Rattus norvegicus: one gene and its partner. The protein of the gene in region 2 purifies or fractionates together with the protein of the main gene of each other region. This does not show direct contact. Links are inferred from orthologs where the notes say so. Each region holds a gene or a part of one and is shown on either strand. Other genes may lie near its edges. The genes, in order: Cryab and Casp3.

The links.
Region 1: the proteins of Casp3 (region 2) and Cryab purify together in Homo sapiens (affinity purification with western blotting; 3 studies listed by BioGRID). This does not show direct contact. The link is inferred for Rattus norvegicus from reciprocal best matches to the Homo sapiens genes CASP3 and CRYAB.

What each region holds. Positions count from the first base shown.
Region 1 is NC_086026.1:59,990,118-59,994,626, forward strand, and holds the start of Cryab (alpha-crystallin B chain), read left to right. Parts: upstream 1-1,413; 5' UTR 1,414-1,742; coding exon 1,743-1,943; intron 1,944-2,970; coding exon 2,971-3,093; intron 3,094-4,509. Other genes in the region: Hspb2 (heat shock protein beta-2), read right to left, coding at 1-172, 596-689. UniProt on the Homo sapiens protein: May contribute to the transparency and refractive index of the lens. Has chaperone-like activity, preventing aggregation of various proteins under a wide range of stress conditions.
Region 2 is NC_086034.1:52,410,886-52,415,347, forward strand, and holds the start of Casp3 (caspase-3), read right to left. Parts: upstream 2,848-4,462; 5' UTR 2,807-2,847; exon of another isoform or gene 2,802-2,806; intron 1-2,801. UniProt on the Homo sapiens protein: Thiol protease that acts as a major effector caspase involved in the execution phase of apoptosis. Following cleavage and activation by initiator caspases (CASP8, CASP9 and/or CASP10), mediates execution of apoptosis by catalyzing cleavage of many proteins.

The DNA of each region.
Region 1 (4,509 bases), on a different chromosome or scaffold from region 2:
GTCACCTCATCTGGGGTAAAGTGGCTCACATCCAGAAATGCCTGGAACTTGCCTTCACTGAGCCTGAGCTCTGAGGCCCCTGCCCTGCCGCCCTCCCCAGCTCTGGCGGCCCGGGGCCGAACATAGTAGCCATGGTAGAGGGTGGGGGTCAGGATCTCTTCTGGCAGGAGGCCTGGGAGCAGAGAAAGAAAGAGAAGGCAAGAGGCAGGATGAGGAAGAATGCAGCGGGCACAGACAGGGCTGAAAGGCGATATCTGGAGATATGGGCTAGAAGAGCAGGTGGGAAACTGTAGAGGGGCTGGGAAAGGAGAGGAGATGGTTACGGAAAAAGCGAGCTGGAACTGGAGGACAGAAGCAAAACCAGAAAATACTCTGAAGCGTGCAAGGCCCGGACACCGAAAGCCCTGCCGATCTAAAGTTTGGTCCTGAAGTCTGTTAGCAAGACCAGAGAGAGTCTTGCTTGAGGGGGGAGTCTGGGGTGGGAGATGGCTCACCTCAGGAGTTCACTTAAGCCCCAGGTAGAGTGGAGGCCAGTGAAGCTGGGCAGTGAGCCCAGAATTTCCGGAGGTGGGGGTAGGAAGCATCTGAGCCATACCTTCTCCGAAGCGCTGCTCGCCCAGGCGGCTAGGGTTGGCAAATTCGTACTCGGCAGTGGCTGGGTGGGCGTGTGGCACTGTGCGGCCCGACATGACTGCTGTTGCGACTAGTAGCCCTGATCCCAAGTGTAGCCCCAACAAGATCAAGGCGACCCCTCCAGCTTCAGAGGGAGAGCCAGGACTCAGTCAGAGTGGGGGCGGGGTCTACACCACCCAAAATAGTGCAGAGCGTCTGGGGGATGGGGGAGGGGTGGGAGCCTAAGTCTAGAGTGCAGCTATGAGGGTGTGATCAGCGCAGCCTGGACCCCCTAAGTCCCCTCCTCTGTATACCCTTCAGCTGTCGCATAGGCCTGGAAGAACAGCTGAGGGTCCTGGTCCTAGAGTAAGCTGGGAAGAGAAACTGGTGCGCTGCAGGAGGGCAAGGAGAGGCCTGGTTGGGCCCTTCACCAATTGTACATTCCACATCACCCTTTGTCCTTATCAGTCTCAGGCACTGAGCACATTACTTAGAAAAAAAAAAAAAAAAAGACAATGTTCTATGAGCCACAGAACGTCAAAAATACAAGAAACATTTTCTGTCTTTTTAATGTCAGGGTCTTCTGAACCTAGATCAACTCGGGGTTCCAGTCAGACACCTAGTTCTGACATATTGGTGGTCACAGCTCTCCTCTGGGACTCCACAAAGAGTTAATGTCCCTGGGGCTCAGCCCAGGAAGATTCCAGCCTCTGCCCAGGCCCAAGATAGTTGCTGGCTCAATTCCCCTGGCATGCAAGACTGGAGAGGAGGAGGGGCCCACCAGCAGCTGCTTGGGATTCCAGACCCTGTCCTGGCTCCAGAGAACAAGGATGGGGTGGGTGGGTGCCACTAGGTGTGGACAGAGAGCTAGTGAAACAAGACCGTGACAAGTCACCGGCCAGCTCAGCCCTGCCCCGTGTTTCTCTTTTCTTAGCTCAGTGAGTACTGGGTATGTGTCACCCTGCCAAATCCCTGATCACAAGTCCCCATGAACTGTCGGGGAGCTGGGATAATAAAACCCCTGACATCACCGTTCCAGAAGCTTCACAAGACTGCATATATAAGGGGCAGGCTGTAGCAGCGGCTGAAGGAGTTGACCGGCTAACCGACTCTACACTCATCTAGCCATCATGGACATAGCCATCCACCACCCCTGGATCCGGCGTCCCTTCTTTCCTTTCCACTCCCCAAGCCGCCTCTTTGACCAGTTCTTCGGAGAGCACCTGTTGGAGTCTGACCTCTTCTCTACAGCCACTTCCCTGAGCCCCTTCTACCTTCGGCCACCCTCCTTCCTGCGGGCACCTAGCTGGATTGACACTGGGCTCTCAGAGGTAAGTCTCCCTTGTGCCAGGGCAGGAATACGTATCCTTCCTGGTCTCTCCATTCCTTTGCCCTTTCACCCTGCCTAAGTCATTTTAGGCATGTGCGTGTGCAAAGGTACAGAGAAATGAGGTTACTGTTTTCTTCTTCCTGTGGGCACCTGTTTCTGTTTGATGCTCCTGTTTCCTGGTCCATTTTTCTGTGCATGGTGCCTCTTTCTCCTCTTTCAACTCCTTTACCCACCTCTTTAATAGTCCCAGTCCTGGCAGATTTTATCATCTCAAACTGTAGAGATCAGATAGAAACCCACTCATTCTGGGCTTTTCCTGTCTTCTTTCCTCCCCACTTCCTTTTGATGGAGCTGGATACATCAATCAATATTCTCTCTCTCTCTCTCTCTCTCTCTCTCTCTCTCTCTCTCTCTCTCTTCCTTGGCCTATGACTTTCCGGGTTCCTCGGGGCTGAGACAGTGCATTGACTTCAGTCCATGCCTTAAGAGGACCGCTCTTGGGAAGCCCTGACTTCTTATCTCAGCAGCGTGGGAGATAAGATTAACAGAGGTTGTCACAGATAACACTGTGGTTTAAAAATATTCGCGTGTGAGGAAACAGGAGCTGAGTGAGCAAGGGCTTTGGAAGGACAGAACATTCCAGATCGAGTGGGTTGGAAACTTGGCAGGCAACTGAACAAGAAAAAGGGGGCTTTTGTTTTATAGACAAATGACAAAGCCAGCACTGGGTAGAGAGGCAGCAGATGCCATCCCCAGACCCATTCTTGTGACTAGTCTCCTACTGACCCGTCTTCTTCCCTGTGCCTCTCGGTAAAGTTTGGGACTGATGGATGACTAAGAGGTGTCTTTTGGGTATCACCATGGTGGCTCACATATACCAGTGTCACTAGTCATAAGAGGATTTTTCCCCCAGCAGCCAGGTAGAGGATGGATTACCAGGGCAGGAAGTAAATCTCCTGGACGATGAGCCTTCTCCAGCTTAATGGACATTCTACCATCTTTTCTCCTCCGCCCCCTTGTTATTCTAGATGCGTATGGAGAAGGACAGGTTCTCTGTGAACCTGGACGTGAAGCACTTCTCTCCAGAGGAACTCAAAGTCAAGGTTCTGGGAGACGTGATTGAGGTGCACGGCAAGCACGAAGAGCGCCAGGTGTGTGGACCTTTCTGCCTTCTCTTGTGAATTCATTTAGTGCCCTGCTGGATGCCAGGGACTGCCGCCACCAGCCTCTGAGGCTGGCAGAATTCCAGTCCCCAAACATAAGACTAGATCAGGAGTTATAGATCAATGGCTGGGAAACAAGTTAGGGCTAGATCTGCTGTTAGTGTTGTGGCTGTGCTGAGAGAACTTTCCCCTGGATGTTCCTTTTGATTGCCTTGTCTTGTCCAGTGACGTCAGAATAGCAGAAGAATTCTCAACATTCCCAACCCTCAGCACATCCTAGGCCAATTGAATCTGAAGTTTTAGGGACATAGCTCAGGCATCAACCTTTAAACAAACAAACAAACAAACTCACTCCTTGGGTACTTTCTGTACCCCAAACTGGCAGCCATTGCTCTAGGCACAGTGTGCTGTACATAATGGCTCTGCGAAATGACAGTCACCACGGAGTCGAAGGCAATAAAATCTGTGGCTTTTGAATGTTCAGGATTCCATGCCTCTTCTGCTCAGTTTAATGCTATGCTACTTGGTTTGTCTGCTTTTCAGAGCTTCAGGCTTATGGCTGTGAGGAAGTTAATTGAGATTTGTTTGTGTGGATGCTTGGGGTACTTGGGATTCAATAGGTAACAGGATTAGCATCCACAATTCCTCTTGCATTTTTAGCATTTTTTTTTCTTGACTTCCTAAAAAGGTGTTATGATTGCTTCTTAAAAATTAATGACTTGGGGGGCTGGGGATTTAGCTCAGTGGTAGAGCGCTTACCTAGGAAGCGCAAGGTCCTGGGTTCGGTCCCCAGCTCCGAAAAAAAAGAACCAAAAAAAAAAAAATTAATGACTTGGGGTTGGGGATTTAGCTCAGCGGTAGAGCGTTTGCCTAGCAAGCGCAAGGCCCTGGGTTCAGTCCCCAGCTCCGAAAAAAAGAAAAGAAAAAAAAATTAATGACTTAGGGCCTGGAGAGATGGCTCAGCAGTTAAAAGCACTGACCGCTCTTCCAGAGGTCCTGCATACAATTCCCAGCAACCACATGGTGGCTCACAACCATCTGTAATGGGATCCAATGCCCTCTTCTGGCATGCAGGTGTACATGCAGATAGAGTGCTCATACATAAAATTAAAAAAATCTTAACAAAAAATAACTCAGCTGTGCCGTGGTGGTGCATGCCTTTAATCCCAACATTTGGGAGGCAGAGGTAGACAGATCTAAGTTAGAGGCCAGCTTAGACTACAGAATGAGTTCCAGGAGAGCAGGAGCTCAACAGAGAAACCCTACTTATCTCAAACAAAACAAAAAACAAAAATCAATACCTCGGTTTTGCTCATGATTTAGGACTGGACCACAGTGTCACTGATAGGGTCACCTTATATAATATCAGCAATATTATACTAGAAACATTCTGAGACATTCCTG
Region 2 (4,462 bases):
AGCCCTTTGTCTACAGCTAGACCACCCTGAACGCGATGGATCTCGTCTAAGGAAGCTCTCTGACCTTGAGGCACAAGCTGGAAAGAATGTGGTGCTTACTATCTGCAAAGGGTCTGTCTTGTCCTCTCCCAAGCGAAACCTTTAGAGGATAAACCTATATGCTCTTAGGGATGTGTAAGAATTACTGACCTGTTTGAAAACAATTTGTTGTTGTTGTTGAAATAAAAGTAGAGTGGAAGATCCTTAATGTCTTTTATAAAAATGACAGATAGCCATGTAATCTACTGAATATCAACCGTTGAACCCTCAGCGTATTAAGTAGTGGAAGAGGCAGACCCTATCCCTATACAGAGCTTATATTCTTGTTTGCTGGTATCTAAAAACAGCAGCAAGGCAGATGTTAATTAGCCCACATTTAGTCCTTATTAGATAATTTCGTTGTACTTTAGCAGAATGAAGCTCTCCAGGCAATATTGAAGACCAAAACAAAGAGGTCAAAACAAGAACTATTATGGAGAATGTCACCCTTAACAAAACATTGTCACACATACTATTTCATCTGATCTTTACAAAACCCTGTGAGCTATATAGATTATGCTTTCTTTATGAAGGAGCAGGTAAGCACCCAGGTCCTGGCCTCAGACAGTCAGATGACAGAATACTCTTTCCTCTCCAAAAATATTTTTTAATCTGTTAAAAGACTATATAAAACAGTACTTAAGAATGTAAAAATTTCCACATCATCTTTCAACCTCTATCACTGGAGTAGAACTTTAAGTATTATCTGACAGGAAGACCAGAACTAATGCAATGTGTTTGAAGAAAAGACTGTATTGTAACTTTAGAAAGCGGGTGAAGTGAATATGTTGCTAAGTTTGAAACCATAGAGTGGCACTGGAACCACTCAGATCAGATAAAGATATAGGGTTCTTACTTAAAATGGCAGGAGACAGAAACTTTCTGCAGGACCACAAAGCAATCTGATTTAATTAGGTGCAGAATTTCACTTGTTACTTTGTACCAGTTGAACTGCTAGGCTTCAATAAACTTCCACTAATTAAAACACATTCTCACTTTGCAAAAGCCTTATTCTGCTGGACAGCAAATCAAAGCCTTTAAAGTTTCAACACTGGGTTGTGACAGGGCTCTACCATTAACACATCCAAAGTGGCTTCCCAAAGGCTGGCCACACCCCCAGTTTAGCATCTCCTCGGCTATTTTGTATACTCAAACTGTAACAACGGCCCCACATTTCCCACCCACCAAAATCTCCTAATCCACATTTTAATCAACCATTTTGCTGTAATAAAACAAATGGTTGAGCAATCACTTGTGCAAAAAACCCAGTAAGGAAGGGCACCATGCTAAAATTAGTGCCTAGCAGTGTTTGCTCACAGTTCTGTAGGCAAACAAACAAGCAAAAGTAGAGGAAATGACAAGGCTGCTTTCAGGAAATGCCTGCCCCAAAGGAAGGAATGGGAAGATTCAACCTTGAATTGTTAACTAAGAACTGAAACCTCCGAAGCAGCTCCTATTCATAGACAAATGTATCAGTGGGGAGAAAAGGTGAGACGGTGCACTGAGGGAGCAAAGAAAAACCAAAAGGACACGTGATTAAAGGATAAAACGGGGAAGACAGTCAAGACCCAGGGTTTGGCTTTGCCAACCCGGTTAGAGGATAGGCTTTTACCCTTAAGCCCTAAGGGTAAACACGAACAGCTAGAAAACTGTTTTTGTTTATGTTTTAAGGAGTGCACTGGAGAAGAACCTTGGGGGGTGGGGGGGAGGCAGAAACCTGCAAGGAGGTTGCTTCAGTTCCCTGAGGTGGGTAACAATCTGGCAGACACCTAGAAAGTCCACAAGACTCAGAAGGGTCAGCCAGGTATAAATCTGTCAGATTCATAGGTCTACAAGGCTCAGTGACTAACAGCGGAAGTTGGGTCCTGAGAAGGTCCCTGAGAAGGGTTTCCTGGGTGACTCAACTAAGAATGAGGTAAAGACCCTGCTGCTCAAGTCGGACTTCAGAGGAGACCAACTAATAAGTGTGAAGTAAGGACAAGCTCTCTGTGCATGGTCCAAGAGATGTCAATGCAAGCTCCTACAGTGACTGACCAACAAAGGAATAAGGTGGAGTATTTAACGAAAGGCTTCAGGGTAAGAAAGAGAGTTGGAGGAGCAATGCTTAAAATTAGCTCTCCACAAGAACCAAAGATGCCACTGGAAAAGACCAAAGGTAGAGACCAAATACTCTTGTAACAGGGAGGCTGGGTCCCTTAGAGCCGCCTTAAGGTCAGCATCAGCCTATTCTTCAGGCCCCAGAGCAGAACTTCCCCTACCCATCCTCTGCTCCGGAGTCCACACTTCAGCCTGCAACTCCAGGATCCCGCCACCTCCAGCCACACGGCTCCCAGGCTCACCCCAACTATGGACTCACCCCCTCCCACCCCTGAAGCTCGGTGCCCAGGGCAATCTCCGGATCCCCGGACTCCGCCTTTTGCGCCTCGGCGCGGCCCCTGCGCCATATTCGAGGGTCTGAGTCCTGCCCCGGTTCACCCAGGTTTAGGGACACCAGCTTGGCCTCCCGGGTCTGGGCTCCCAGCTCCAGACCACGCTACCGGCGCTGTTTCCAGCTTCTCTGCCTTCAGTGCTTGCCTGAGCAAGCCTGGAGGCAACACAAAGGATCCTCCGCCCAGATCGCCCGTTTCCCCCGCCTCTTCCTAGGAGCTGCAGACTGGGCGACAGAGCGCCGGCTCCCGGTGGCAACGCAGGTCCTGGAAAGCGCGAAAGCAGCAGACACTCACCGTACCGTTCCAAGCTCCGCACCTCAGGACACTAAGCTTTGATCCCACCAACACCAACACTGCATCAGCAGCCTACCGCCGGTCCCGCCCACGCCCCGCCCACGCCCCGCCCCCTCGACCTCCTCCTCCTTCTCTTTATCCCCTCCCCCAACCCTAATTTCCAGCGCGCCAGGACTGCAGCCGAGCCGCGGCAGCGCAGGCCCCGCCCACCGATGGCTCACCCTAGAGCCCCGCCCCCTCCGGCCCCGCCCCCTCGCGGGGGTTTCAAGTTCTGGTTCCCGCCATCTCTGCCTCCACCATCTGCCGCCTCCGGCCGACTTGCACTGCTTGAGGTAAATTTAGAGAGGTCTCTAGGCCAGGCCTGATTCCAGGGTCACAAAGGTGGGCGTTCAGGGAGACGCCTCTGTCAGTCAGAGCTCCGGCCGGAGAAAATAGGGCTAAACCCCCGCACTCGCAATCTCTACTTCCTCTCAAATGAACCGAGGCCTTTCTTCCGCCTAACTCTTGCTCCCTCAAGTCAGAAGCCCTGACTACCTTACTGAAATCTCCGACTGCTTTGGGTCCTATTTCAGACTCTGACTCTGAGAAGTGTTTTTTGCATAATATACGAAAACATGAGCAAAGCAGTCAGTATACTTCAGGGGCCCAGGATACTCTGAGGACAAATTCACTCCATAGAGCAGTAGCTTGCTTGTCCCCAACGCAATTGCTTGGTCGGATGTGAGGGACTGTAGTGTACGTAGGTACCCAAATGTCTACCATTCGCTGCGTGTGGAATTCGAGCTCTTACATTTCCATAATACATTTCTTAGTTTTTCCAGTTCCAACAGAGGCTTTAAAAGGATAAGTGGTTTGCCCTTCTGAAGAGCCATAGTAGTTAAATGCAGATTCCAGAAACAAATTAATCTATCATCATCCCTCTCAAAGTGAGTGAGGATCAGCCAGTTTCTGTTGGGAGAAACTTTCGCATAGGTCGCACTCAACCCTAGCGATGCTTCGTGGAGGCTGTAGTTCACAGGGAAAAACTAATTGAGAAATCCTGATCTCCTTGTTGGGCACTGACCCATCCCTGTGCCAAACGTTCTTAACCAAATGATACCTTAGATGAAGTATCCTCAGCCGTTCTCTCCGTTATGTTGACTTCATCTTGTTAAAGCAAAACAGCTGGAGGTGGTATTTTTCGTCTGAGCCCTGTAATTTCTCCTCACAGCCAGGACCCATAGGGAGCTGAAGTGGTTCTGGGCCTCAAGAGAGAAAAAAATCATGAAAAGCAATATGATGCTTTCCAGGTTGGGCAGCTGGAGTAAGAGGGCTTCTGAAGTAGTCTAGGAACAGGGAGTGGGCCTTAGCTTCCTTCCATTTGGTGACAAAACTGAACTAGAAGTATAATAGATAAACGTTTTCAGGCCTACATCTGCAGGAAGATTTAGTCTGTCAAGATAAACTACATGTCAATTAAATGATAACTAAATCGTTAACGGATATACTTTCAAGAGGCTGTAAAAATGGTGTGAATGTCATTGGTCTGGTAAAGTTGTCCTGCTTTGGGTGGGGAATCAGTGAGGAGGAAAAGAACCTACACCTGGAACAGTATATTGTTATAGGGTTTCTTATCCCTTCTGATAGGTTTTAGGGACATTTAAAGTATGACTTCTGATCAT